2 linked regions of the Coturnix japonica genome follow. The protein of the gene in region 2 interacts with the protein of the main gene of each other region in a biochemical or structural test. Links are inferred from orthologs where the notes say so. Each region holds a gene or a part of one and is shown on either strand. Other genes may lie near its edges.

The links.
Region 1: the proteins of MIS18BP1 (region 2) and MIS18A form a complex in vitro, tested with the Homo sapiens proteins (2 studies listed by BioGRID). The link is inferred for Coturnix japonica from reciprocal best matches to the Homo sapiens genes MIS18BP1 and MIS18A.

What each region holds. Positions count from the first base shown.
Region 1 is NC_029516.1:94,341,075-94,355,917, reverse strand, and holds MIS18A (protein Mis18-alpha), read left to right. Parts: upstream 1-7,632; 5' UTR 7,633-7,710; coding exon 7,711-7,960; intron 7,961-8,035; coding exon 8,036-8,102; intron 8,103-8,199; coding exon 8,200-8,322; intron 8,323-9,345; coding exon 9,346-9,439; intron 9,440-9,535; coding exon 9,536-9,616; 3' UTR 9,617-10,207; downstream 10,208-14,843. Other genes in the region: MRAP (melanocortin-2 receptor accessory protein), read right to left, coding at 1,419-1,518, 6,271-6,376. UniProt on the Homo sapiens protein: Required for recruitment of CENPA to centromeres and normal chromosome segregation during mitosis.
Region 2 is NC_029520.1:53,290,717-53,305,706, reverse strand, and holds the start of MIS18BP1 (mis18-binding protein 1), read right to left. Parts: upstream 7,168-14,990; 5' UTR 7,139-7,167; coding exon 6,742-7,138; intron 5,421-6,741; coding exon 5,283-5,420; intron 4,463-5,282; coding exon 3,957-4,462; intron 3,112-3,956; coding exon 3,035-3,111; intron 2,243-3,034; coding exon 2,112-2,242; intron 1,677-2,111; coding exon 1,586-1,676; intron 1,187-1,585; coding exon 1,023-1,186; intron 1-1,022. UniProt on the Homo sapiens protein: Required for recruitment of CENPA to centromeres and normal chromosome segregation during mitosis.

The sequences.
Region 1 (14,843 bases), on a different chromosome or scaffold from region 2:
ACAGAATCACACCTGAAAGCATTAATTGCTAGGAAAATGACATGAGGCTAATTCCAGGAGACTCTGGCCCAGCAGAAAATCAAGTTTCACCATGATGTATTGCCCCTAAGCTGACTGATACAGTGAATGCTAGAGGCTCATGGTTGGCACGTGTCTGAAGTCACTTAGTGGGCATAGCAGTGATGGGTCGATGGTTGGACTAGATTATCTTAATGGTCTTTATCAACCTCAACAACTCTATGACTTCATAACTACACTTCCAAATCAATACTGCTGAATAAGCATATTATAGTTTTACCAAGAGCTTATTATGTTAAAGGACAACAGTTCACATATACACAGAATCACAGAATCACAGAATGACCCGGGTTGGAAGGGACCTCAAGGATCATGTAGTTCCAACCCCCCTGCCTGGCAGGGCCACCAAACATACACCTTTACTAGATCAGGTTGCCCAGGGCCCCGTCCAACCTGGCCTTGAACACCTCCAAGGACGGGGCATCCACAACCTCCCTGGGCAGCCTGTTCCAGGGCCTAACCACTCTCCTAGTGAAGAACTTCCCCCTAACATCCAACCTAAATCTTCCCTCTTTTAACTTAAAAAATATATATAGGCCACCTTTGGGAAGAAAGGCAATGTCAGACCTTTGCCAGGATTTGCCAAACAAGAAAAAAATAGTAAAAAAGCCCAGATCTTCAGGCAGTTGCACACATCAGTAGCCTCACAGAGTTAGTTTAAACAGCAAGAACTTAAACATGTTTAGATAATAAGCCACTCACATATCTCAGGCAAGAAAGAAGTTTCTGCATAACAGACTGCAGAACGCTAGACCGTAGGCTCCTCACAGTAATCCTGGGTCAAACACAACTGCATGTTACTATGATGTTAAGTCACTGAATAAAGAAGAGAATTAATCATGACCCATTTAACAGAAATTGTTGCAGTGAATGGTTACCCTTACATAAATCATGTAGTACGTCTTTGTTCAAATAGCATCACCTTCAGCTACTACATTTTAGTAAAATACTTTGGCATTTGATTGTGATGATGTGGCTCTCCAGTTGGACACTAAAGTTCTAAAGATGTAGATACAGCCTTGATAGCTGACATAAGTAACATTTATACCCAATGTTTTTGTCATTGTCAAACCACAACAGTTATTAATTCATATTTTAGCCCAAGCGATTAATAGAAACAGTGAGCAGCAGTTGGTTGAGGGACACTCAAACCAAATGATAAGTAAGCAGCATCATCTCAGTGTGCAGTTGTAAATGCTGAATGTAACTGCTGGATCATCTGAAGCAGTGAATAAATGTTTTGTGCAGATTATTTATAAATCTGAATAAATAAGATAAATAATGAATAAATAAAAATAAGATTTATCACACTTAGCTCTTTTACCTCTCATTGTACTTACTTCACTGGATTTGATCCAGAGCGGGACATGTAGAGCAAAATAAGGAAAAGAAACATCACAAAGGCAGCAAGTCCAACCCAAAAGGCTATGACAATAGAATCTGTGAACACAACACAGTAATTCTGTCACTGGTGACATGGCAATTACAAGCAAAACAACAGTGCAGTTTATGATCTGTAAGAAAGGTATGCCATTGAATTAGTTGAATTTAACTAAACCCTTGAAGGAGGGGAATCTGAGTGCAAATTTGTTAAAAATCTGAAGTTTCCTAGTAATTTAACACTGTACAGCCAGGGCTGGGGGATAGAATGGAAAATAAAATCTCATAAGTGCATTTAAAAGGTAATGCTGAGTACTGAGGGTGGTTTTCATTTTCAGCTCCTTGCAGGGGACGCATTTCCTTTTACAAAATCACTGTGCAGTCAGCATTGTGTTATTCAAGATAAAGCCATTACTGTCTCAATGTGTGGCCATATCCTAGTCTCTGGTGAAACAAAATGTAACCCGTGACCTTTCATATGATGCTTTTTTAGGGAGGAAAGCCTAGCTTTGAAAACATATTCTACCAGGAGAAACACTAAACCTCCACACAGGAAAGCCTGTTCTGTAAAGAGCCTGTGGCCTCCAGGATACACCAGTGGAACAAACTGTGAAGAGCCCGCTGTTCAGCTGCAGTACTTCTGTAATTGTCACAGAATAGTTCAAAAAGAAGCTTACTCCACCAGAGCTAAGTGATTTATTTAAGGAACAAGTGAATGGATTCCTAGCACTGAAGTACAGGTTCTCAATTGGTTTACACCAGCTGGAGGTCCGATCTGAGTGACCACAGGGCTTCAGGAGTTCAGGAGAGCAGAGCTCAGAAAGGATATGGAGGGAAAAGGGAGCTCGTTTTCTATGACTTAAGGTTCAGTGCTTCTGAAATGACTGCCTCATTTATGAGCTTGCTGTTAGATGGGATGAATCCACTTCTGCCCCAGCAGCACTGTTTCATAGATGCTCCTTCCTAGGATCAGTGCAGTAGTGAACTTCCCAGCTAAAGCCTCAGAAAAGTTGGGTGTTGGGCAGAGCACAAGTCAAGAAATGCTCCAAATTCATCACTGGCTTCTCACTTAGACTAAGGTGAAAAAGAAGGGTCATTGACTCCAGGGACAAATATTGACCAGGAAAAAATAAATCTTCTATCTCAAAGGACAAAAAACAGTCATGTTCTTTGAAACAGGTCCAACATATCTGATGAGGTGTTTCTTTGTGAAAAAGTTCAGAACGTGTTGTCATCAGAGCCACAAAGAGATAAGGGGGAATTACTCCAGGTCCTTTATACCTTCAGCTAGAGCTGACCCAGCAGGAGGCTTATCAGAGTGCTGAGTTTTGGCTGGGCTACTGAGAAATGAGAATGTACAAAAAACTACTGAGGCATCAGCTTATTTTATTCTTCCTCTGGTAAAATACACAAATAAACAACCAACCACACAACAACCAAAACCCTTTCACTGAACTTTAATTCAAGGGATGCTAAATGAAAATGGATGGGCCAGTATTCTGGCCTACTCTCCCAAAAGTTATTATATGAGGCAGTGACTGGGTGCTACTGCCAGTCTCAGCTCCTCAGGGGAGAAATGGAGATATTATGAAAAACTTGAAGTGCTCAGAGCCACGTGGAGAGAAATGAAGAGCACAGATTTACCAAATTCCATATCAAAGCTATTTTAGTTTCATCTTTAAGAGCCACTAATACAATTCATGGAATTCACTGAAGCTTATCAAATTTGTTCCAGATCTCAGGGCAACTCGTGAGGGATAAACAGAAACTTCCTGGCTGTTTTTACAGTCTTATTAATCCTAATTAGGATTCTTTCTGAACTGGGACAATGTATTTTAAGAACCTATAAAAATCTCTTCTATTGCTAACTTTCATAGTCAGCTTCTATATGCATGTGGATATGATTTTGAACAGCCTGTTCGTTTGTGGGCCAATTAAGCTCTGTATTATTTTCATACAAAATGGGTAGATGCATGATGCTATGAATAGAAAGCAAGAACATGACTTCATTGCTGGATTTAGATCCATTTTCATGAGACAAACAAGCTCTCACCGTGCTTCGGGAACAGGCCACATAACAGAGGAGAAAGCACAGAGATTCAGGTCTCTGTTTTACACTCAATAAAAAAAATAAGGCAAGACGGAATTAGGGAGCTATAATCCCACCCCAGGGGTTATGACGAATGTATAGTTCATTAGAGCTGATTCAGAGAGGCACCTGAACAAATGTTCAAGTCCCATTGCAGTCAATCAGGAGAGGTCCCCTGGAACATCAATATAGCGCTTATTTTAATTCTAGAGATATCATATATTTTGCCAATTTTGGAATATTTACAGCTCTATAAGCCCCTATTTAAGGGGAAATGATCACATTTCATCTTCTGCACAAAGGGCAAGAACTTGCTGAACATGATTTGTTTACATAGTTCCAAGCACATGAAGACAATAATCCCAGCAGCTGCTTTTGAAGGTAAAAGAATGTAAATATTGTGGAAAGACAGGAAAACCTATAAAGTATATTCATTGCCTTACCAGTCCTTTTATTCAAAGCAAGGAAAAAAAACCTAACCAGCTGTGGAATTATTTCCCTTGCTATTTTCTTTATAGCTTGTTTTCCCATTGGCAATTGGAGAAGGAAGAATAAAAGTTCTAGTATGACGCAGCGTCCATTCCTTCTAGGCTGCTGACATGGAAAAACATCTATTTTTATAGGAAACCCAAAAAACCCCCAGCGACCAGACAGTTTAACTTTCCTGTCCATCAGGAAACCAAACCCAACGTTTGTAATTTGGAAATTGATACAGCCAATAAGAGCTTTTTAAAGACACGAATCGTGGAGCAGAATCCCATTTTGGAACACTGCCTGGAGATCTGTTACATAAACAGCTGCCCCAGGGAACACACGCTGCCTTAAACCTTGCCCTGCAGAGGGGGGAAAATTGTAAATCTCACACTGTACTCTTACATCTTTCTTTTTCCTCTTTGCCTGGGATATGGGCAGCTGACATACAGAAGACTGGTTTCCTGCAGGTTTGTTTCCCAAAGCTGAGGCCAAAGGGGGTTTTCTTGCTGCCTAACAGGGCACAATTTCTTCATAAAGCTTTTTTTTTGGTCAGGAAATTTCTTCACTCACAGTATTATTCCTTCATTATTTAACCAGCTGCTACAGGAACTTATGGGTATTTTATATTGTTGAAGTCTCCGTTCCTTTATTATTAGATCAGTGAGTTGAAGTTACCAAAGGAACAGAAGATCCGACGCGTAAACAAAAAGCATGATCACGTAAGTCACCTCCTTAGAATATAAAGAGGCCTGAAAGGTGTCAGACTTCTCTGTTTCCTTATGGTAAGAGAAGAAATAGGGAAGAAAAAAAATCACTAAGAGATTGGTTTACTATGTTGTGGGTTTGTTTGTTTGTTTGCTTTTTAAACTGAAATAAGGCTTGAGATCACTCATGAGCACTCAAACAGGTATGTGGCAATGCTCCCTGCGAAACTATCAGTGAATTTCAGAGGGGAAACATCTTCTCACAGGAGCATATAAGGGGTTCCCTGGTGGGATTTGCCAGAGATTATCTGATATAACTTTCAAACGAAGAGATTTAGGTAAGTGATGTAAAGCTGCTCACAACCTGCCTGTTCCCAGCAGCACCAAACGTTGCTCTACACTATTCTGGTGCGGGATTTTATATATGGAAGGCTGTGGATATTTACATCTTCTTCTTTTAGGTATGTTGCTCTTGGTTACCTAAAGTTGGAGGCAGTAAACCTAGGCTCATTAGAGTTGGCAGAAAAGCTCTTCTAGAGGCAGTGCAGAATAAAACTCTGCTCTCATTCTTGCTCCCATAAGATCACAAAGCTCCCCTGCACAGTGAACTGAATTAGGTGCCTGAGGAGGGTGGTCGGAACGTTCCTCCCGCACACTCTCAACCTTCACTATTAGAAAGGCACTGCCTTGGAAATAATTTGAAAGCATATGATATTTTTCCTGCAGACCTGATCACTGTAATAACATTGGGGAAAGCTATAATAGTTCCTGAAACTATACCTGCATAGTTGCAGTTGTCTTTAGTAAACCAGAGACTAATAAAGCCACTGCTGTGGCTTCACGATCACAAAGATGTGAGAGAAACTGCAGAACACTGCCCATAGCTCAGGCAGTTCAAACATATCTGTCTTTTCTCCCTTGATCTTCATCCACCCATCCAGCTCTATTGACTTCCATGGCAATAAGGTACTGTGCTGACAATGTATATTACTACTTCATCTGATCATTCGGTAGCACTAAACCACAAGAGGAAGAATGATAGAATGTATTTTCAGCTTATTGTTCCTGGCCAGCAGAAACAAACCTCTTCCTTTACCAAGGTTTTAAATACTTATCAGTTGTAACATAAGCTGTATGTCCCAAGCTGAAAACATGATAGTCTTACAACAGAACTTGTAACTTTTCTTAGTGTAGCAGACAAGTAGTTCACACCCCAAGCCTACAGATCTGCATGTAATTAGATTTACACTCAGCAATGATAAAAAGCCCGTCCTTCTAAATAAAAGTTAATATTAGCAGTCTTACAGTTTCAAGTATTGTAAGATAAATCATAGAGCTTCATTATTAGCAGCAACTGCTGTTAGAACACAGTCAAGGAAAGCCAGTTTGGCACACAGACACCCATCCATACAAACCTTGCACGCTTAAAGCATTATGGTCTCAGTCACAAAGAAAGCAAGCTAAGTCAGTAAGACAAGCTACGCAACATTTTGCCCGCTCATTTTTCCTGTACTAGATAAACACCTACTACACTATGATACTTACATTTATTAACTTTCAACTTCCTTCCATCTACTGGAATTGGATCTATGTAATCCCAATAATATTCGTAAGACCAGAAGTACTCAGATGAGTTTGTTCTGTTGGCCATGTCAGTAGTGCATTTTAAATCAGCTTCAACCAAGTACTTTTTTTCATTGTGCTTGAGCGCCCTCAGAAAGAGATTGCTTAACTGATGCCTATGTAAATCACTCTGGAGTCCTGTAGCTCAAGGACTGCCTTGGTACTAACTAATGTTGAGCAAAAATGAATATTAATGCCTGACAGATAAATAGTAGCAGCCTTTAAGCGTAACCCTTGCTTCCTGGTGGGCAGTTACATTATTCCTCAGCATATCAGAGCTGAGATGGATGCCAAGTAAGCTAAGAATGGGATGGACAAGTGCCAGATGTGTCACAAACCCTTCTCTCTGAGAGACAGCTGCAATGAAGTGTTCTCTGGAGCTACTGGAAACAGCCAGCTGGGCTGAAGGAAATCTCTTTCTATTCACATAAAGGAGGGGGCAAGTACCTGACAAAATGCATCATAGACAGAGGATGCAACAAAGCTGATGAAAAGTCTGGAGCATAAAATCATAACAGGGAGTAGCTGAAGGAGCTGGGATTGTTCAGTCTGGAGAACAGGATGTCAGGGGAGACCTCACAGCTCTCTACAACTATCTGAAGAGAAGCTGTGACAAGGTGGGAGACAGCCTCTTCTCCCAGGCAATGGTGATGAGAAGAAATGGCCTCAAGTTGCACCAGGGGAGGTTCAGGTTGGGTGTTAGGAAGGATTTCTTGTCAGCAAGAGCAGTGCTGCAGTGGCACAGGCTGCCCAGGGAGGTGGTGCAGTCACCGTCCCTGGAGGTGTTCAAGAGCCGTGTGGATGTGGCACTGAGGGACGTGGGCAGTGGGCATGGGGGCCACAACGTAGGTAGAGCCAGCTGAAGGCTTGAGGTGTTGGGCCGTGGCAGCATAGCAAGTGGTACCTAAACGTGCTTAACTGAGCTGAGCAGCAAGGACAGCAGGCCCTCAGCTGGCTTTTGGCTGCATCCCTAAAGCCTTCAGTGCGTGTGGTGGCTGGGGAAGCCAGGGCCGCATCCCATAGCGCACAACGCACCAGTTTGGCTAAAAACAACTTTGAAACCAACCAAAGCCACTTTCTCTCTGCCTTCTCAGTGCTACGTCACCCAAACACCTCCTAACACACTCCAGCAGGGGTTATGAAGGCACAGCACTGAGCTAGACCAGCGCTGACACACAACCCCACCTCCTACGTCTACGCTAGTAACGTAACCACGCTGTGGGCAGGGACATGTACTAATCCCCGCCCCTGCTACGCTAGTTGCGTATGTACGCTGTGGGGCGTAGCCACGCACCGAACCCCGCCTCATGGACGCGACGTATTCGGGCTGGTTCCGGTTCCGTCGTGGGCAGTTTGAAGGTGATGGCGGGCTTGTTGTATCCGCTGTCAGGTGGGGCGGTTGCGCTGGATTCGTCTCTGCCTCTGCTCGAGTCGACCATCCCTCGGGAGGCGCTGCCGATGGAGCGACCGCGGGCTAACGGGAAAGGGGAGGAAGAGGAAAACGACGAGAACCTGCCCATGGTGTTCCTGTGCGGCGGCTGCAAGCGGCCTGTGGGAGATACGCTGAGTTGGGTGGCCAACGATGAGGACGCGACGTGTATTCTGCTGCGCAGTGAGTGCTGCTCCCATCTGCCCTCTCCTGCATGACGGCTTTTGGGGGCCCTTGGTCAGTGTTGGCTCTGTGCAGGTGCCTCCAGCAACATCTCAGTGGACAAGGAGCAGAAGCTGTCCAAAAGGCCTGGAGAGTGTGGATGGTGAGCGCTCTTCAAACCACAGTCGATAAAATACATGTGTATGTACTTTTAATAGGCGAAGGGAGGAGTGATTTGCTCTCTTTGTTTTTTTTTAAAGCATGGTTGAAACGTTTTCCTGCTCTGGCTGCTCGAGGGCACTTGGCAGCATCTACAGATGCACCCCAAAGCATCTCGACTACAAGAGGGATTTGTTTTGTTTCAACGTTGGCTCAATTGAAAGGTAAAGACAGAATCTGCATTGCTGTCGGGTTAACCTCACCTTCCAGACACCATATCAAGGGATGCTGCTGCTAACAGTCTGAGCAAGTTCCCTATGGTAGTTAGGTTTTGAGTATCTCTGGAGGAGACTCTACAGCCCCTCTATGCTGTTCATTCTGGTAGTCTGCCACTCTCATGGTAAGAAGCTTTTTCTCATGTTTGTATGGAGCATCCTGTCTTCCAGTTTGTGCATCTTGCCCTCCTGATAGGGCCAGGCTCTTTTCAGTGGTGCCCAACTGCTTGGCTCTGCCCTTTAGATATTTATAAGCTTTAATAAGATCGGTTCCCTCAGAATTCTCTTCTCTAGGCTGAATAGTCTCAGGATCTCAGCCCTTCTGGTCTTAAACTGTTCTTTGATGTTTGAGGATGTTGTTAAGTCTCCACATTAGAGTTCTGTCCGAAGTTTATTTAAAAATCTCAATCTTCAGAGCCATCTTAAAGGTGGAAGATTTTAAGTATCCAGACTAGAGATCTTTTATCCAAGTGTTGTTATAGTACTAGTGATAAGCTACTGTTACTTCCATGTGGGCTAGTTTTACTGTTTCTACTTCTATGTGAAGTTCCAGCCTGTTCTGCTGAACATACATGGGTGTTTTCCTTCCTACTCTGAACAGTCTTTTCTTCTTTACACAGCTAAATACTTTGGTTTTTGATGACAGTAAAAGTCTCTGGAAGACTATGACAGGGCTACAGAGCAGCATTCTCTTGGAGTAGTGATGATGTCTAGTTCTCCCATCTAGTGCTACACTAATCTTAATATCTGAATGACATCTTGGTTGTTTAGAGCTCAAAGCTGTTGAAGTTTTACCGTACAGCTCATTTGCAAGATTGCTAAAAATAGGGTTGTGTTATTGTTGTTGCCAAAATAGTGCTTTGACTGTGCTGGTGCATTAATTGCGATCTTATCAAGAGTGGCGGATGAATCATACAAGTGTTCTTTTGCCTTCAGAATGAAAAGTGCATCATCTAAACTGTAGCATATCAGTTACATTCTAGGATCCTCAGAAAAGCAGGCTGTTACTGATGAGGAACCTTTAACTCTCGAAAGTCGAGTTGCCTTGGAAGAAGCACTAAAAAGGGTAACGCTTAATCTTGCATTGTTTTGATGACATCTATACTTGTTCTTTATATTGTACACCTGTTTCTAACCAGGTCTTTCCCCATTTACTTCACAGGCAAACACCATACTAAATGCTCTGGAGGCAAGGCTGGCTACTGTTGAATCAAGAATCGATTCTCTTCACAGTAATGCTTGAAAGAAAATCCTGCGTGTAAAATAACTGCTGGAGATTGATGTGTGTGAAACTGGGATCTGTGGGAATATTTTAAAAGCTGCTCGAAGATCTGAAAGATGTGGGCAGTAGGACAATGCCAGCTACTGAGTCTTTGTCACAGATGAGGAGTTCCCCTTTTGTCTTGAGAGAATACCCTGGGAAGAAAAAGACTTCTAAAAAACATTTCAGTCAATTTGTTGTTTATATAGAAATATTTATTTTTTTTTACCTTGGAAAGCAAAGGTCTTATCTCCTGGTTGTCCTGTATTTTAATATCTGCTGAACTGAAGGCTTCAAATGCATCAGCTACTATGGCTTCCTGTGCAGTACTGAGAGTCACGCGTGTAACAGCCTCAAAGAGGAGAAGAAACAAGGCTACTAGCAGCACACCTTTTAATCAAAGTTAGGTGCATATTTGAACAAAGAATTCAGTGCTGCTTAAGAAACTTCTGTCAATATTTCATTGTTAACATGTAGATCTTACTGTTATGGTTTTCTGTATGTATGTCTTCCTAGCATTGTGTTGTTTTTTTTTTAATCCCCAATAAATCAAAGTAAGTGGTAATCGTGTAAGGGAAAAATCTGATTTCTGTTTATTTACATACCATTGCCCGATGCTACTTAATTGCATCACTGCTAATTTTTAAGTAGTCTCCAGAAACTTGGAATGAATTTTCCCACTGTTCTTCCTACTGGTAACTACCATTTCTCTTGAGAGCTCTCTTATTTTTCACTCTCTCTTCTCTCTTTTTTTATCTACCATTTCGTTTTAAAGTAGCACGCAGTTTGGCACATTGCAGTTGTCTTGTAGTCTTTCCTGTTCAGGCAACTCAAACACTGTTATGTTTATGCCTGCTGAGGTATTCTAAGCTCTGGTTGTTCCAGTCAAATTACTCAGTGTCTTTTTAGAAGCAGCAGCATCTCTAGCAAGATCTTTTGCTTGAAAGTTGTGCAGCAGACCATCTGAAAACAACCATGAACTTTGCTGTCCTTTAACTGAAGATTGGTTGACGTTTTTCATAGAGTGTATTTTTCTCAATTGCTAACACTGGCTTTGTAAGCTTGCCTTTTCAGGCATAACCCTTTATATTTTTTATCTGTATAATGTGTGTATTTTCTTTTTCATCAAGTACAGTTATGGGAGCAAGGATGCAAGCCCTTGGTTTCTGGGCAAAGTCTATGGCCATCCAAATGGCCATTTCTGGCCAAAGTCTATGGCCAAAGTCAAAGCATGCTGTGTTCTTAACGTCTTCTAACAAAGGTTAGAATGTGAATCAAGTTCACAAAGGTGAACTTGTGTGTTTTTCTGCTTATTCCCTGTCTGAGTTACAAGCGTGTTGGGGGTGACAGATCCAGCAACCTAGCAATCGTCACCTTGACTTGGTTTCCAAGTAGGCCCTTGTGTTTAATGACATTAAATGTATATCTAATATTTCTAGTTCTACCTTGGGTTCTGAGAGCCAAGTTAACCAGCCTCAAGTAGCATCTGTAGACATGTTCCTCCATTAAATATTTGGAGGGCAGCTAATTGTAGTTCAGAGCTATTCCCTAAACAAGTCCATCACCTGAGTTCCTTCAGCGACTTTAGGGGATGGGTGCTAGTATTGTATTGCTGTAGTGTGTAGCAGGAATATAATGCGTAAGCAAGCATTAAAAATAAGTAATGATTGCTTATCTTATGGTAAGCACATACCTTTCATAACCGTCTATCTTAGCTACTAAGAGAAAAAACACCTGCTGATGAAAGGAATCGGAAAAGCAAATTGCTGCCCTCAAATTGCAGGCAGAAGTGACCATATAGCCCAGTTTAGTTTCTGCTGTGGAGCATAGGTAATGTGTTTTTTAAATGTGTTAAATAACAGTAAACTAAGATGAGATACAATGATAGTTCTCCATCTTTTATAAACTACCTGCCTTTGGCTACACTGCATATTTGGTGCCTTTCAGCATATTGTAGGTGGGAGCTCAAACACTTTAGCGCATAGGCTCTTAAAATAGGTCTATGCTCTCAAGAGTTTCAAGCTGGCTCTTTGCTAAGGTGTGCAATGAACAGGCTAAATCTGGAATGAATTTCATCCAAAGAGCTATGTACATCTGCATGGGGAAATGTGTGTGTTTGGGTGTGTATATGAAATAATCTTTGCTTTTTGCAGTGCAGTTCAAGTAGGAGCTGGTATCTGGAGCGCTTAACTGGGTAAAGATAATACAGCACAGATTGATTGCTTGTTTTTTTAAATATAGAAATGTCTGTTGTGATACATTTGAATAGTTGTTAAACATTAATAAAAGCTGTAATTTTTCCCTGAACAACTAAAGTTAGTAATAAAGTTCTAATGTGCCAACGTGATTTATAGGCATGCAGTCATATGAAAAGGTATTGTTTCTCGTTTAATAAGCAGTCTCCATTACTGGTGGTTATTCCTTCTGTGCTCACTTTCAACCTTTGAAAACAGGGTAGTTTAACGCTGGGGGTTCTGCATGCTCTGTTGTATGTTTACTTATCCCAGGTACCTTGCACACTGTGCAGTGAGGGGAATATGTTGCTCAAGGTTGGAAGAGATTTTGCTAGGGAGAGGAAAATTAGTGTGGCTGATTGCAGGTTGGAGAACTGAGAGGAAGGCGGAAAAACTATGGCTGTAGTTTGAATGCTCATGAGGAAGGAGAAACCTCTTGACTAAGGTTTCTACATCAATGGGTCAAGGTCTATGTGTTTTCCACAGGGCAAGTGGCTTCTTTCCTGACTGAAGGTGGTATCTGCGTGTAGAGACCTGAGGTGAATGTGTAATGTGAAATGAGACACTTGGCAGGAGCCTCTAGCTCCCTTATGTCTCCTAAGGTCCTGCAGTTTATCCACACTTTGTCTTTGAACAGCTATTAGCTGGAAAACCAGCTCCATTTAATGATGATTCTTCTTCCAGTGTTAGGATTGAAAAAAAAAGAATCTGGACTGGAGAAAATGTGCCAAATCAGAAGGAACAGAACAGAAGGTAAGAGAGAACTGGTACATCATATCCTGACAGGGAAGCTGGATGTTGTGGGAGTGAGCAGGATGAAAATAGATGTGTGGATTCCAAAGGGAGCGAAGCACCTGAATTAGTTTTGTTACAGAGAGATCTGAACTTCAGATTCTTGTCCTGTGTACACAGGCAACATGACTGATACAGTTACCAGAGGCTAAAGTGCCACAGCGGATTGTATGCTGAGTGAAATAAATGTTATTCTTACAAAATACGTTCTTTATACTCTTACAAAACAAGCATTGTAGTGCAGATACACGCCAAGTTCTCTATACAAAAAAAAGAAGGTGTCAGATCTTTGAGAACCCTTCGGGGAAGGAAAGGATGGCAGAAAGTGTAATCCATGATTGAAAAGAGAAAGTCAGAGAACTACTCAGTGAATATTCTTAGTGAAAAAATAAACAGGAATAAAATTGCAAAATGAGCTAAGTGCTGGTAAATTTGTACTCAACATCCATAGGATCTACAAGAGCCTAGAATGACACTCAGGCTGAACACTTTGATGTGACACTTAAAATGAACACTTGGTGTATTTTACATGGAGCCATGAACTGGAATGTATTGTTACTGTAATTAATGCTTTAGCAATCTGCACCAAATAGTGCCAACAACCACTAGTCAGGGTTCAATAACATCAGCACTTGCTGTTAAAATTTTCCAATCATCACATTTTTCTATAATTAAACAATTGAAACTGTTACATGCCGACTTTGTCATAGAGTCTTAGATTCATTAAGATTGAAAAAGACCTCTAAGATCACCCAGCCCAACCACCAGCCCACCCCCACCATGCCCACTGCCCACATCCCTCAGTGCCACATCCACACGGCTCTTGAACACCTCCAGGGACAGTGACTGCACCACCTCCCTGGGCAGCCTGTGCCACTGCAGCACTGCTCTTGCTGAGAAGAAACTGTTCCTAATATCCAACCTGAACCTCCCCTGGCACAACTTGAGGATATTAACTCTCACTCCACCATGTTCCCCTTCTCCACTAAGATGTTCACCTTTGTGCCCACAGTCCATGATGCACCTCCTCCTGTGATGTTGCAGCAATTTGCCAATGCTTGGTTCTTCATCAGGTGATGTGTGCTGATGTGTTCATAAGGAGTTTCTTGGGATGGCTTGAATCCTGCACACTTTCAAACAGCTGTTTGTTAGCACATCTTCTTGGCTGGACTATGAATATATATATAATGGTAATAAACTAGTGGTAAATTAGTGATCATGTGTAGTATAATGCTTTGGTATAATAGCTAGTTATGCAAAATGAATGCAAAGTTAAAACAAATTAAACACTAATTGGCTGCTTACTAGACAGTTTTGTCAATGTAGCTAAAACAAATGAGATTCCAGCCAACACACCACTGGCAATGTGCTGTTACAGCTACAACCAAGCTAAATAAGCTCAAGGCTGGACAAGCGCCAGAAGCGTTTCTCAAACCCTTCACTCTTTTATTGCCATGAGAATACAGGGATGGTGGTCTGCTAATGGAGACGCTGTATTTACTGTGCTACGGGACTACAATAGAGGTAAGCCTCATTTCTACAGGGTCAAATAGCGTGACGCCGCCCAGGTGATTTTTTCCTTATGTCTCCCATAGTTTCATCCTGTGTGGCGAGAGGAACAGAGAATCGTCATCAACTTGAAAATGAGCACAGAAACAAACTAGTGTTTTCTTCTAGGCTCAGCCAAGCCACCCAGGAGACCAAACCTATGTAATTTGATAGTACAAGGTTTTATGTCTGCTGCTAGAACGGAACTGCTAGGACCATAAATCAGGAAAGATCCCCTTGTTTTCACTTTCTGAGGGTGTAAAAGCTACTTTTCTCCCATAAGCCCTAAGGGCTACTTCTTATACGTGGATGACAGAAGGTCTGTTTTAAAATCCTTTGTAAACAGGGAAAACTCTTCCCCAAACTTCCGTCACAGTTACTAGAATGACCTGACAGCAAGGGATTAAAAACCAGAAGTACATTTGGGTTTTTTCTGACTTATTTTTTATACACCAAGCTGTCAAAGTTACATTGGGCTGCCCAGGGCCCCATCTAACCTGGCCTTGAACACCTCCAGGAACAGAGCATCCGCATCCTCTCTGGGCAGCCTGTGCCAGCACTTCACCACTCTCTGTAACATGCTTTATTTCATTTGAAGCTACACAAAAACTGCATTTGAAATGAAGTGTGTGGTT
Region 2 (14,990 bases):
TTACAAGGCTATGAAGAACTTGGAAAACACAGAGAATTACAGTGATAAAAGAGAAGTTGTCGCACTGAGCAAACCTTCACTATAATGAGAAAATGAAAACAGTTGTTATGTTATGAGCAAGACAATCTGATTACAGTACTAACAGCTTGCCAAGCCCTGCTGGAGCCTCAGACAAGGTATGGAAAAGAAGCTGAAGTTAAAAACCAGAAGTTAACTGTGTCCCTAATGAAGTCTGCATTACCAGGCAACAAAAAAATGTTGGTTGTTGGCATATGCCTTCACAATTGTTCCCTCTGGAAACAGACAAAGAAAGTAATTCTTCCACAACCATTCTGACTATGCCCAATGCTTGTTAGCACATCACTCTATTCCTTAGCTCTGGCAGTAAACCAGTAAGATGCCATAAGACAAACCTGCTGCAGGAGCAGATTCAAGGAAGGAGTTAAAATGAAGACAGCCAAAAAAGGGGTCAAGGGTGGAGGCCTTGTGATTGGAAATCACAGCCTGAACCTCTGATTAATCAGCTGAGGCAAGTGTTGGGTCAGCTGTGGAAGCACAGGTGAGAGTGATTTAGCTGTGCTCCCAGAAGAGGTGGAGCTCGACTCCACCTCCTCTAGACCTCATTGTGGCTGACCACCACTGAAGCAGCATCTCTCTTGGAGATTGCCCCCTGGTGGAGATTGCCCCAGCATTTCCAGTGAAGGCATCCATATCATTAAGTTTTCCTTTATAAATAACCTTTTGAATATTTGTCATCATCTTTGTTACCATCTCCATATAATTCAACTTTACACCCATCCCTGCAGGCATTCAAGGCCAGGCTGGATGTGGCTCTGGGCAGCCTGGGCTGCTGGTTGCTGACCCTGCACACAGTAGGGGGTTGGGACTGGATGAGCACTGTGGGCTTTTGCAACCCAGGCCATGCTGTGATTCTATGAAAACAAGAACCAACAAAGCCACCAAAAGCAAGCTATCACAAACTATCCACCTCTTCTCTAAAGAAAAAGATTTTGAAGACTCACAAGTGTGTTCATCTTTCCTTGGTAACACTTCATATGTAGTGTTCCTTGTTTCATGTTTCTTTGCATTTCTTGCTGAGTCTTCTGCACTTTGCACCTCATCTGTGTCCACCACTGAGTCACTCTCTTCATTTTCATCCTCTGTAATCCTTTTTTTGTGATCTTTCCTAATGATTTAGAGGTTAAGAAAAAAATAATAATAAACACTTAAAGCAGTTATCCTTTAACAAAAGACTTATGTAGACTCAAAGCCTTCTCCCCATCCCAGTGGGACAGTGCAGCTCTACTCATAGTGGCATGGTTCAAGCCACTGAATCAGCGATGCCCTTCACTTGTATTGACCCCAGGCATCTCAACAGAAACAAACCAAAGCATTGTAATGAAGAATAGTAAGGCTGGGGCACTGGGCAGCCTGGTCTGGTATTAATAGTGGAGGTTGGTGGCCCTGCGACCAGAAGTCTCCATACACACACCTACCATCTTTTATCTTCCACTAGTATAATATATTTAAAAACCAACTAATACTTGGGAAAGTATTACAATTAAACAATTTCCAAAGAAATTACCTTCTTAATTCCTTGAGTAGCTCATCAACGTATTCCTTCCACCTTTCAGGAAACCCAAATGTAAATCTTTTTATGAACAGATAGGAAAACCCTGTGTGAAACAGAAGTGGCATTAATAGCTGAGCAATATTTTTAATCAGGAAACACAGAAATACCACACAGTAGGATTTGTTTGTAAGCACCTCAGAAACTCACTAACATCCTAAACATTAGACAGGCAGATTTTCCCAGTTTGAAAGAACTGTACATGTCATGATAAAGTGGACCAAGGGCCACAGGACACAGACATCAGCCTGTGAAGATGGCATTCTGGTTTTTGGGAGCCAGGAACAGGAGCCTGCCCAGCACTGAGGGACTGGGCAAAGCTCCCAGCTCCATTCAAAGCTGACAGAAGTGCTGATACCCCCCGAGCCCAGACTGCAGAATAACATAGAACATTCGCTTTGATGGTATGTGCAAGTTCTCACAGCCGTAACTCTAAAGCCCTCCTAAGTCTGTAATGTTACATTAAGAATGGTCTTCCTACCTTCTTCTCTCATCGAAGCAGAATCTATACGTCCCTGTAGCAAGTAGATACTGCCAGATGATGTTTTAACTTTGTTGTATGCTACACGTTCTACAACTGCGTTACTATGCCACAACATATCCTTCATATCTCTAGGAAAAGATAAATAACATTAATAACACCAAAAAAAAAAACGACCCAATTTTCATAAAAGGAGGAATTTAAAACAAGAATTTGTTATTCCATATCAGTGTAATGCGATGAGTCAGGCAGACACTGGTAGAATGTGCTAGGATTTCCTTTCTTAGTATGGAAGATTTTCTGGACCCCTTAGTTAGTTAATATTTGGACAGGGAACAAAATGAGCTTGCCACCACTGCAAGTGTTTGTCGCAGAACATGCCATGCACTAGGCTGCAAAAACAAAGTAGACTAAAGGACTCCATTCAGCTCAGTGTTGCAGTGATACCCTCATGGATGTTACAGAGGTGTTAGCATACAAGCCCAGTTTAAGCTCCCCCTGGGAATATTTCATTTCTTACTTTTCCATTTAAAAGACAGTAACTGAAGAAAGGAGCTCCAGTCCATGCAAAAATTAGAGATTAACAAGTGTTTAAGAGATCTCTCAATGAGAAATACAGGTGAGTATTAATGTGAAAAGAATCTACATAGAATTTTTTTTAAGTATACTTTAATAGCAGTAGGAACAGACCAAGCTACAGAGCAGCACTAAGGGCACATAGCCCAAATGTTGAGCTGCCTAATTTGCCACAAACAACAGAACTCTTCGGACTTTCACGCAGCAGAATTGCATGGAACTGGTTCTAACAGCTACCAACATAATCCAACCCCGCATCTCAAAGGATGGCACCACCTTTAGGGCTGAGATGTTGAAACCCCTTCAACATATTTTACATCGCATTTAAATCAGATTTTTTTCCTTACTTTCGTTTTCCTTCAACACAGACTGCAGTATAACCATTTATCACTTTAATGCACCAGCTGGAAAGGCAGATTTCTTTCTGTGGGGAAAAAAGATCACAGCTGCTATTATTCTGATATCAGACTAAGCTATGTAACACTGCCAATGCATTGGCAAAGTAGAAATTAACTAACTCCTGGAAAAAGGAAAAAGCCTTCTTTTATACAAACCAACCAGACAGTCGTCTGGGAAAAAAATAAAAGAAGTCATTTGAGGGGAAAATATTTACCGGTACGGCCTGAGGAGGTTTTACACTGCTCAGCTCCACCATGCTGCGCTCTCATACCCCCTCCTCAAAAAAACAGGGTGAAAACACATGGTGAAAGAAGGCTCATGGGCTGAGCTAAACAGCTTCATTAAATAAAAAAAAAAAGTAAAACACAAAGACTGTAGAGAAACAAGAGGAGAAAATTACTTCCCATCAGTGAGCTACACCTGGCTACATCTTGGGAAACAGGGCCTCCACTGTTGTAGCAGCAGCTGGGAGGACACTCATAATGAGAGCTCCCCTCCTCCTTCCCCAGCTCCTACTGCTGCACATGATGTCCCACGGTGTGAGATATCATTTTGGGTGCTGTAGGTCAGCACCCCAGCAGTGCCCCCCTCCCCAGCTGGCTCTGGGGCAGGTTTGCTGCTGCGCCAGCACTGCCCAGTGCGAGACAAAGCAGCACTGCACATCACTGCTGCTCCAGCTACAAGAGCACAGCCCAGTCTGGGCTGCTGTGTGGAATGTGAACTCCATCCCAGCATCACACCCAGTACACCCAGCAGCTTCATCTGTAGGCTCATTACTTTTGACAAAAAAACAAAATGATGACCACAAGCCACAGGCAGCCCATGGGAAGTTCTACCCTACAGCTGTAACAAAGCAGGAAGTTCTCCCACCTCTTCGTCAGCAGTGACAGCGATCTGATCTGCCCGAGGTTTACCCACTATATTACAGTTTTCTTTCTGCTTCTGCTTCCTTGGCACGCAGGCTTCAGGATTAGAGAGCGCAACATTAGAGAAGTGCCGTGAGGGTTTTTGAGTTGCAGTCTTCAGTATCTTTTCTGCTCTGTGCTCAGCTCGCTGATTGTTTGACTGCAACCGTCCTTTCTCCTGTTGAATTTCAGGACGTTTTGCTTCTCTATTTCCATATCTTCCTTCTAACTGATCCCCAGGGTCAGAAGTGGTAGAACAGATACCCACAGTACTGGCTACTGTATTTAGAGACATTTCATCATCAGCATCCATTGATTCCACAAGGAAATTATCCTCATTGTCCTTATCAGCAGCCACATGCTCTGTCTGAGCATTTGGGAGCAGCTCACCAAAAGCAGATTTGACCACTGGCTTTTCTGCAGCTGGGCGAGGAGGAACGTTCTGCTTGTTTAAGTTTGAAAACGTTGGATCTGCCAATTAAAAAAAAAAAAAAAAAGGCAGTTAGTCATGTTAATCTGAGTATGTTCTCGTGGTTAGCACTACTGTTCTGAAAGCATTAACTCAACTGCCAAGCCTTACAGCAAGCACTTCATTGAATTGCTTTGCACTAGAATTTCATCACTACCAGACCAATACATAAGCATCCCACTTTCCCCCAGAATCAAGCTGAGGCACATGGCTCAGGCACGCCCTGAAGCCGTGCTGGCTGTCTGGGATCACCTCCTCATCCCTCATGTACCTTAACATCTTTTTCTCAAGGACCTGCTCTGTGATCTTCCCAGGCACAGATGGGAGGCTCACCAGCCTGTAGCTCCCTGGGCCTTCATTCTACATTTGTCATCAGGAAACCAAGCCTTTCCTTTTTATGTATTAAAAGCAAAAGTGTGGGGGAAAGACTTAGCAAACAAAAAGTTTAGGACATTTCCATCAAATTCCCATTCTAGTGCCAAACTGTCACACCTGGTTTATAAAGAGTTCTTAACCACAACACCAGAGTCTGAATGAACATCAGACAGGTACAAATGGAAAAACAAAAACAACAGACAAATGATGTCAGGCTTCAATGCCCGAAGGCAGCATCCTGACCTACAGCCTGCAAGTCTGACGCCATCTCCAGGGCTGAACAGGCAGAGCTGCAGGTTTCTTGCACCTCTTTCCTCCGTGCACAGACTACAAAGACAAACAACAGCCTGCACTATTCTGCCAATAGCACACAAGAAATTATAAGAAAGAAAGGCGTCCTGAAGTCCCGCAAGCTTTTGATGCGGTTCTAAGAGCAACATTGAGTACCTGTCTGCTGCTGCTGCTGCCTCTGCTGCAATTTCTGCTTCATACGCAAGAAGAACTTCTGAGGAGATTCCAGTACGATCGGGTCGATGCTCAGCATTTTCACAGCCTGGTTCTGGGGGATCTGAACGTGGGGTAATTCTGAAAGAACAGATCAAAAATCAGTTGAAACTGGGGAAGAAAAACATCGGGAAGAAGAGAAGCAAAAGACACATTTCATAAGATCCGAATGCAAACAGGATCTATTTTGTACTATTAAGGTCTACCCAGTAGTACCCCCCAGAGGAACACAGGGCTCGGTCAGAAATCATTATTGATATGAGATAAAACGAGGCAGGATGGAAACACACATTTTGGAAAGCTGGGGTTAGAAAGGAAAGTTTCAGAATGTTCAGGTTTTGTAGAAATAAGAGGCTACTTGTTTTCATCATGTCCAACAGATACAGTGAAGGCAATGAGGGGCTTTAAGTTGCAGCAAGGAGATTTAGAAAGGCTTTTAAAATAACTAACCATGAAGCCTGGGCACTACTACCTCCATAGCAATACTCTCAGTTAACTAACTGGATAAATGGCCAACACGTAAGATTTAGAATGACAGAGTTGTTTGAGCTGGAAGAGGCCTTTAAAAGTCATTATTTATACGTAGTACACTTCAGGCAGGTGTACAGAGATGAAGCACTGTAAGCTGATAAATCAGACAGTATTTCAGTGGCTCTTCCACTCAGAACGGCCCAAACACGAGGCTAACAGGGCTCTGCCATGGGACAGCTTCCCCTGCCAACCATCATTACTGCCTGCACGGACGGCAGCTCTGTGCCAGCAGGCAGCAATTCCTAACACTGCAGCACTGCTCTGGGTCAGAGCTTGGACGGGGCTCTGAGCAGCTGGAGGAGCTGTGGGTGTTCCTGGTCGTGGAGTTCTTCATCTGCAAACTCGGCACTGCAGCAGCTGCTGGGAGCTGGATACTACTTTGCAGATGCACCAGAGCCGGGCACCCAGCAGGTGCCTCCCAAGTATTTCAGCTTCCAAGCAGCTCTGCCACCAACCCTCCTCGTTTCTCAGCTGTCAGAACAGCACAAGCTATTCATTTGTTTCTGTTTATCTCACAGCGTCACTCTCCAGACTGAACAGATGGCAACAGATCAGCCCCATTCGCAGACAGAACAGGGGGAACACATTGAAACAAACCGATCGCGGTTCCTCAGCACGGTGGGGTTGGGCGGGGCCTGACAGACCATCCAGCCCTGCGCGGGACGGTGTCCCCCGGTCCGGGCACCACAGAGGAGCACCCGCAGCTCCGGTACCTCTATCACCGCCTGTACCACCGGCTCCGGGTAATGCTGGCGGCCCTCAGCTCGCACCCAACCCCATCTTTCAGCTTCGATCCCCCCGCCGCAGACGCTCCCTACAGCCCGCAGGTAGCGCTGCCCGCTCCCCGGCCGGGCACACGTTGGTTACCGACCTCTCTCGTGCTGCTGGTCCCTGCGCCTCCCCCCGTCCGCAAGGCGCGGCCCGGCCCCGCCGGGTGTCAGGATTCGGTCAGTGCCGTCCGCCTCGATCTTCATCTTCATCCTGAGGAATGCCGCAGCCGGGCTGTGCTGGGCGAGCTGCTGGACGAGCTGTTGCTCGGGCTGCTCCCGCGCGCAGCGTTTCGGTGGCGGCGGCCCGGGGCGGATGTCGCTGATGTCGCCGATGCCCATCGGCTCCCGGCCGCCCTCCAGCATCGTGGATTGCAGCACGGGGCGCGGAGCGGGGCCGAAGCGGAGCAGGTCCTTCAGCGGGGTGAGCGTGCCCGCGGGGATGGAGCTGAGCGCCACCGCCTGGAACGGCATCTCCCCGCGGCGGGGTTTGCTGATCATGGCGGTGCGGAGCTGCGGGCCGTGCCCGCTCTGCCCTGTGTCCCGGCACGCTGTGGGACCGGCCCGGCCCGCGCGGCGACACACAAAATTTGAGTTGGAATCGCCTCGCGCTGATTGGCCGCCGGGCGGCGTGACGTCACGGGGCGCGGAGAGGAAATGGCGGAACGGAGCGGAAGTGAGGTAACAGGGCGCCATTACGGGGCGGGGTAATGGCGGAGTGGTGTTAGGCTGATGGCGGGCTGATGGCGGGCTGATGGCGGGCTGGGCTCCGTACGGGAAATGCTGCGGCTGTTTGGGCTGCGGGTCTCGGGGAGCGGCGACAAAGGAGGAGCTCTGCTGCTCTGTTGGCTCTGCTGGCTCCTGGTGCGGTGCTTTGGGGTAGCGGTGTGTGGAGCGGAGCTGCTGTCGATGTGTGATGATTCTTTGTACCCTAGAGCAGAGGAGGGGTTGATTGTGTGAGGAAAGAAAAGCCATCCTGGCTGCCTGCAGGGAACTTCAGCTGACAATAAACAGTATATTTGAATTGGTTTCCTTTGAGTTTAGTGATTACCGGTGCTGCGTACAGGTGGAGCAGCAGCTGTGTAAGGAGGAGAGCTGAGTCCTGCAGGGCCAGTGTTGGGTTTGGAGGTTAAAAGTGCAGGTTCTTTAGCTCAAGGTCACACCTGGAGGGTGGCAGCTGTGTCTGAGCCTTGTTGGGTCTTAACAATTAAAGCTAGTAACAGATTGTGTGTTCAGGTGTCAAAGGTCAGGAATGAGGGTAAAACATCTGGTGCTTTTAAATGCTTTGGGCCACAGTTACTTTGGTTGTGTGAAGTAACAGCTTCTGCTCTGTTTTGATGCCAATGAAACCCAAAAGAGCAAGGAGTCGTCCTGCAAATCACACTCCTACGTGCATGGTCCCATCAGTGCTGTGTTTAAAGTACTGCGCAGGTGTGAGGGATTGTTTAGTGTACCAAAACTACATGGAAAATGCACAGAAAATGCCACTAAGAGAGATCAGATTTGAACACTGCTATACAAGTCCTGCAGGGTAGGGCACTGCTCAGCTGAGGGCCACGCTCACCTGCTCCAGATGGCCAGGCAGGTGGAGGGTCTTGGATGTCCTCTTGCTGAACCTCATTTAACAGTTGGTCTGAAGCCCACCTCGTGTTCTAGTGTTACTGGTCAGTAAGTGTATGCCAAGGAATCTGAGTAGTCCCACTGATTTCTTGCAGCTGTAGAGCTGAACAGGTGCATTTCCTGGGAGTGGGTATTAATGTGGGCTGGTGCTGAAGGTGTGTAAATGAACATTGTTCAAACTCACATCAGAATGCAGAAATCTTTTTATGTGGGAGAGGAGTTCCTCGCCTTATGGAAACTGAGTGTGCAGTGCTGCAGTGATTTCCTCCAGTAGAAGGCGCACACAGGCATTGTAAGCAAGGCTGAAAGCTTTGAGAGCCCAGTGAGCAAAGGGAGAGGAGCAGAGAACTTTCCCCACCAGGAAATTCTAAAGCCAGTAATAAACTATCTTGAATATACAGACGTGTATATGTTAAATATGGGTATACTTACTTCTGCCCTCCCTACCCTGACAGAGAAACATGCAGGTCTTTTTTTCAGCCATACCAGCAATTGGTTTAAAGTCTCAAAAATCTGAAGGACAAATTGGTTGACATAAAAGCCTGGAAAATTAAAACCTAAGTACAGTTTTCTTCCAGGAATGGCTGTATGCCTTCCAGTAAATGAAAGAAAACAAACAAGAAATGGGGATAAAGCACAGTGAAGGTAATGCCAGCAAGTTATGCACCAGTTAGCCAGACAGGTCATAGAATCACCAAGGTTGGAAAAGACCTAAAGGATCATCCAGTTCAACTGTTCACCTATTACCAATAGCTCCCAGATGTGTAGATACGACTGGTGTAATGACTAAGCTACCAGAAAAAATGGCTCCAGGATGAAAAGTTACACTAACAGACGATGACTCTTTGCTGAGCTTCACGGTAATTTTAGGAAAAGAAAATGGAAGAGCTGAGGGCAGAAGGGCATTTCTCTAATTATCAACAGTAATTTATCTTGGCTGAATGGGATACAATAAAAGGTGGTTAATTTTAAACACGCTTCCCTTCTTTTGGTGTAGAGAATCCCTTTGTTGGATATAAGTAAGCAGCTCTGCAGGTTTGCTGTTCTTATAACATGGCTCCTTTCCACACTTGGGCTGCTTCACTCTTCCACTGCTGACAGTTTGTCTCTTGCAGACTTCCATTCCAATCCACAGTGTAAAAACAACAGATGATAGGATGGAAATCAGTCATGATAACAGTTATAGGAGTTCTACTGAGTTAATGGAGCTGGTCAGTGTGTTGGGTAAGGTGAAGGGGAAGTACAGTCCAGTTTGCTACAAGGGGAAAACAAACAGGACACTTAACAGTGCACAAATATCAAATGCTTTTAGCTACCTCTGTCCCATTGGTCTGTTTAATATAATTAAGAGATTAACAGAATTTGTGACGTTGTGTTACCCACCAGCACACTTTCACTCAAGAAACTGCACAGCCAGGAGCTTTCTCTGCATAACATGGAATACAAGTGGGTACTGTTCTTAATCATTTTCCTAAGTGTTCATAGGATGGAAATTAGGCCTTAATACAGCCAGAGGGGCTGCAGGAGGTACCCTGTAAAGGTCACACTGCCACTTGTGTCAGTACCAAGAGCTCAGCAACGTCTGCTTTATTTCGTTGTTGGAAATGTTTACTAACTGGTGTTATTTCCTCCATGAGAGGGGAAATGCCTTTAAGTGATGCCAGTGCTTTTCCTTTATGGCAAACGGGCACTTGTGAGACACCATGAATACCAGTTCAGCAGTGCTGCTAGAAATGGGGGCTGGGATTTTTCTACGATGCCCATTTAGAGGAAGACCCTCAGGAAGAAAGGTTCCCTTAGTGAGTGTGTGAGCACAGTGCTTGGTCCTACAGTGCCTCACTTCACACAGGGCTTCAGAATGGTACTGGAGCACACAGGGATGGGAAGGCTGCTGTTTCCAAGGTGGACACCATCCTTGGTACAAAGGGAACACGGCACTTCTGTGTCATGTTTTCCAAAATGCCTTCCAGGGCAACACGGATCTTTCAAAGCTCCGACTCCGAGGGTTCCCCGGCTCTGTGGGTCACACAGCAATAACAGCTGGGAGGGAAGAAACGGCTCCAAATTGCGGTGCCACAGATTGTTACAGAGCTTTCCTGGGCTCGGATCTATGGGAGCAATAGGTCCCATATAGGTCGTACGAACCAAGTCGTAGTGACCCTTCCCGGTTTTACCGTCTCTAAAGCACTAGAGGGCGGGCTTGGCTTAAAAATCCAGGCTTCGTGCCCCTTCTGCCTGCTCTTCTGCGTTAGTGCCGAAGGAACGAAGGTTTTTATCTGTAGAAGCACATAGGATCCGATGTCCGCATTATTCTCTGTAAATGGTATCTTTGCTTTAGCAAATGCTCGCCGTGATTATTAGGTTTCATGCCACAAGCGCTGTTTGTGTGGATGAAGTGATGAGAGTTACTGAAGTGAAGCATTTCAGTGCTAACGGAGCAAGTTACGGGATGCACTGCGCAGTATAAAAGTGCTGCAATTGATTTGACAGGTGTGAAATTAATATTAAAACTTTTTAATTCATCAGATCGTCGAATCATAGAGTTGTATGAATTGGAAGGGGCCCTTCAAGGCCCCCTGGTCCCACTGCCCCAATGCACAGGGACACCCACAGCTCCATCAGTACTCACAGCCCATCCCCTGACCTTGGCTGTCTGCAGGGATGGGGCAGCACCGCCTCTCTGGGCAGCCTGTGCAGTGCTTCACTACCCCTGTTGTGAAAAACATCCAATCTAAATCTCCCCTCTTTTAGTTTACAGCGTGAGTAAGAGCTACGAGATTAGTGCTTGAGTTACACAGACCGAAAGAGATGTGGAGCAAATGGCAGGGCAGATAGTTACACTTTTCACCATTTATTTAGTGGTGGATTTTGGAGGTAGTCGATATTTTTACCCGTTGTTTTTATTTTGCATAACGTCCTGTATTCCTCCCGCATTTCAGGGTGACCAGTGTGCTGAATCGTTTGGCTGCTAACAATGGCTGAGCTATTGCAGATGGCCTGTCATGATAAACTGCTTTGTGAAGTAATGCACTGCAAGTGCCCTTTGCCTTCCAGTGGGTTTTCCTCTCACGGTCCTGCAATAGTGCCCTGTGGCTCCGGGATGGAACAATCCCGGGCAGTAAAGAGATTGAGATAATGACAGCCCATGGTGACAGCAGAGCTAGCAGAGCTGGCAGATCCAGCCCGGGGGAAGAAAGACACATCCTTGCTGATAGAAATGCCTCCATCCTTTGGGAATTGCAGCTTGGGAATCAAAGCTGACCTCATAGACAAGGATGACGGAGAACAAGCTTTTGATTTATGACGAGATGAAGCTCAAAGTCTGCCCTTCTGATCCTTCCTTACAACACACCTTTTGTATTTTATATGAGCTCTTGCACTTTATTCTTAGAATGTTATCTCCTGGGGTATCATCTTGAAGTCTTTCAGTTTTGCAGTCAGTTCTCTCATCTCCTTTGAAGCAGGTTGTTTTGGTTTTGGTGTCGTGTTGTTGGGGTTTTTTAATCCAACTAAACCCCATTTTTATTGTCACAGACAAACTAGCCATTTATATTTAATACTGATCAGTTGCCTTGATTTCTTTCTTTTACTTTTCCTCCTTCCCTTCCTCCCTCCCTCCCTCCCTCTCCCCAGGCTCTCCTGAAGGCAAAAACCAGATTTGCTTTCTCGACCACTCACTCCTCTTGTCAGCCCCATTCCTTGGTGCCTCGTCTGTCCCAGGCACTTGAATATTAACAAGTTACGTTTTTCATAATGAAATTTATGGGTCAGATCCTTAGTAAAATGTTGACCTCTTCTGACTCAGTGAAGCGATGTTGCTTTTCACCACCGATCCCTGCTTAAGGCTCCCACAGCAGATGGGATCAGCTGTCAGATAGCTGGTTGCTTTGGTGTGTAGGTCTCCTGCAAACTTCTTAACTCCCTCAAAGTGCTAAGGTGCTGTGCAGCTGGGTTTTAACCTTGTCAGCTTATTCTCATCCAAATTATCCAGTGTTCCTATTTGCTGTGCCTTCTGTGACAAGCAATAGAATGGCCATAAAAAGCATTTGTGGTGCTGTCAATTATAAGTGGGAAAGGCTGTGACAGCATAAGCTCAAGCACAGCTTTCTAAAAGGGAGTGTTTCTGTGCATCAGCTCTGCCGTGGCCGTGTTTAGGGCGCTGCTATTCCCATATATCTGTCAGCCTGTCTGTCATCTGCCTGCCTGTCTCCCTGACGTATATTGCTGTAGATAAATACGCTCCGTTGGCGATGAAAAGGAAGTGACCTCATAAGTTTGTCTGTTCAGCCACAAAGGTTTGGTTGTAACGTGACATTCCATCTGATTACTCTGGTTTACACCAAATTCAACAACCTGTGGCCTGCAGATACTCAGCATAAAGAGCAGAGAGAGGCTGACCTTGACAACCTCATTTCTCATTCCTTTCTTGTTATAGGTAATATAGCTGAAAATGTGGTTTTAATTATAGTACTAATGAAAACTGAAAATCCAGACAGACACTTGACAAACTCTGGTACGCTTTATATGACATTTGTGCTAACTACAAAGTACCCAGCTGGGTGTAACATTATCTCTCTTTTCCTTGAGCATCCGCCTGACTTAAGCTGTATAATTAATGTGTACTTTGGCTGGAGATCGGTTTACAGTTGGTTTTTTAGCATTTTTACGTTTTGTAAGATGTTGCAATGAAGCGAATCTGTTTCTTCCCCCTGTGCCCGCACTCTGCAGGGGGAGCTGCTACCTGTGCAGGAGCAACAGCAGGGAGAATACAGCAAAGCGCCTCAGCCAGCTGAGCCTGATGCAATGAAGCCTCCTCCAAAAGCAGGTGTGGGAAATAGAATCAAAGAATGGCTTACCTTGCACCGCTGTTTTCAAGGACATACTGTGGAATCTGAGGGTTTCCTTAACAAAAATACTAAAGGGATTCCTTGCTAAACGTCCAAAACTATATCTGACGTGAAGGGAAGTGGCTTCAGTAGAGCCGCCTGCACAGTGGGGAGCTCAAGGTGTTGCTCTTAGAAGTGAATCCATAAGGATTTTCAGAGTTCATAAGGCTGTTGCTGTGGTTTGAGGATGGTGAGCATGTACCGGGAGCCTCTCTGCATAGCCTGTCCACTGCTGTGCCTTAAGCTTCTTTGCTGATACAAACAAAGGCCAGATATGGATGTGAAAAGTTTCTTCGTATACATTTGTCATGAGGCATTTTACTGATGTCTGACTTCTTTCTGAAATACAAACCGACTCCAGCTTCTCCAAAAGCCAGCCCAAAATACCATAGCTAAAGGGTGACTGCTTTTAAATAGTGCCTTTCTAACAAGGTCTGCTGGGCACTGTTCGTTACAGATCTGCATTGCCCTGGAAGACAGTTTGGAAAACGTGACACTAAACCCAACGCACTGATCAGTCCCATTAACCTCAGTGGAACTCTGTAGCTATTAGCACAGTTCTGATTTTCATCCTATCATCTGTTGTTTTCAGGTTGTGGATTGGAATGGAAGTTTGCAAGTGACAAACTGTCAGCAGTGTGATTAAGTGGTTGTGATGGTGATCAGTGGTTGTGTGTCAGGGTGGAGGCCAGTCACAAGTGATGTCCCTCAGGGGTTGCTCTTGGGACCGGTGCTCTTCAGCATCTTCATCAATGACAGACAATGGCATCGAGTGCACCCTCAGCAAGTCTGAGCAGTGCCATCAATACATTGGAGGGAAGGGAAGCCATTCAGATGGACCTGGACAGGCTGGACTGGCCATGCTATGATTCTATGATTCTATGGAAGAGTGAAGTGATCCGAGTGTGGAAAGGAGTCGTGTTATTAGAACAGGAAACCTGCAGAGCTGCTTACTTCATATCCAACAAAGATATCTATCCATATCTTTTTTGTTTTGAATTAATCACACATCTCTAAAACCCAGAAATACAAACACAGAAAGGTTATAGACTGTCTCTGTGACAGCACCTTGCACAGAGCCTTTCCTTTTCAGTTCCAGTTTGTTGTATGTGAGAACATGTTCATGCAGCAAATTGAATTTTCTGGGCTATGTTTCTCAGAACAACCAGAGGCTTTTAGCATGTAAGGTTTCAGGAACAGCTGGGATCAAAAATTTGAGTGGACCCCAAAGTTACCGGCACTGTCTGTATCCTCCACAGTGGAAACATCAGTTCTTGCACCAAGGAGATAACAGTCCAGATTTCAGAGCCTGGTTGTGTACTATTTTGTGCTGTATCCTCTATTAGCTCAAGCCCAGAATTTTCTCTTGACTCAGTTTGCACAGATTCCCACCCATTCTCTGTTAATTTACATTATTTTATAGTCTGTCACTGGTTGAGAAAGGAGCACTTGACCGAGGGCACTGAATGCATGCATCTCCTGGGGAGACAACTTTAAAGTTTCCCAACCAGAAGCCTATATCAGGGAACCTTACACATTATGTAGTTTGCTGTTGTGTGAGCCAAGCATTTTAAGTCTTGGAGCTGAGAGAGAATAAGATTCTCAACACATTAATTTGGAAGTATGGTCATGAATCGTGGATTTGGCAACCCTGGCTGAAGTATGGTTCCATGAGAAAAATCTCAAAGAGCTCCATAGTAAATAGGCAAAAAACTAACACGGTGACCAGCAGTTATCAAACTGAACTGGCACACTGTTGACTGTTAATGTAACCTGGTCAGATCTACCAAACTTGGTGCCAAACTGACTGATGTGGTTCAACCCAGCACGTTTAATGAAGTCATCCC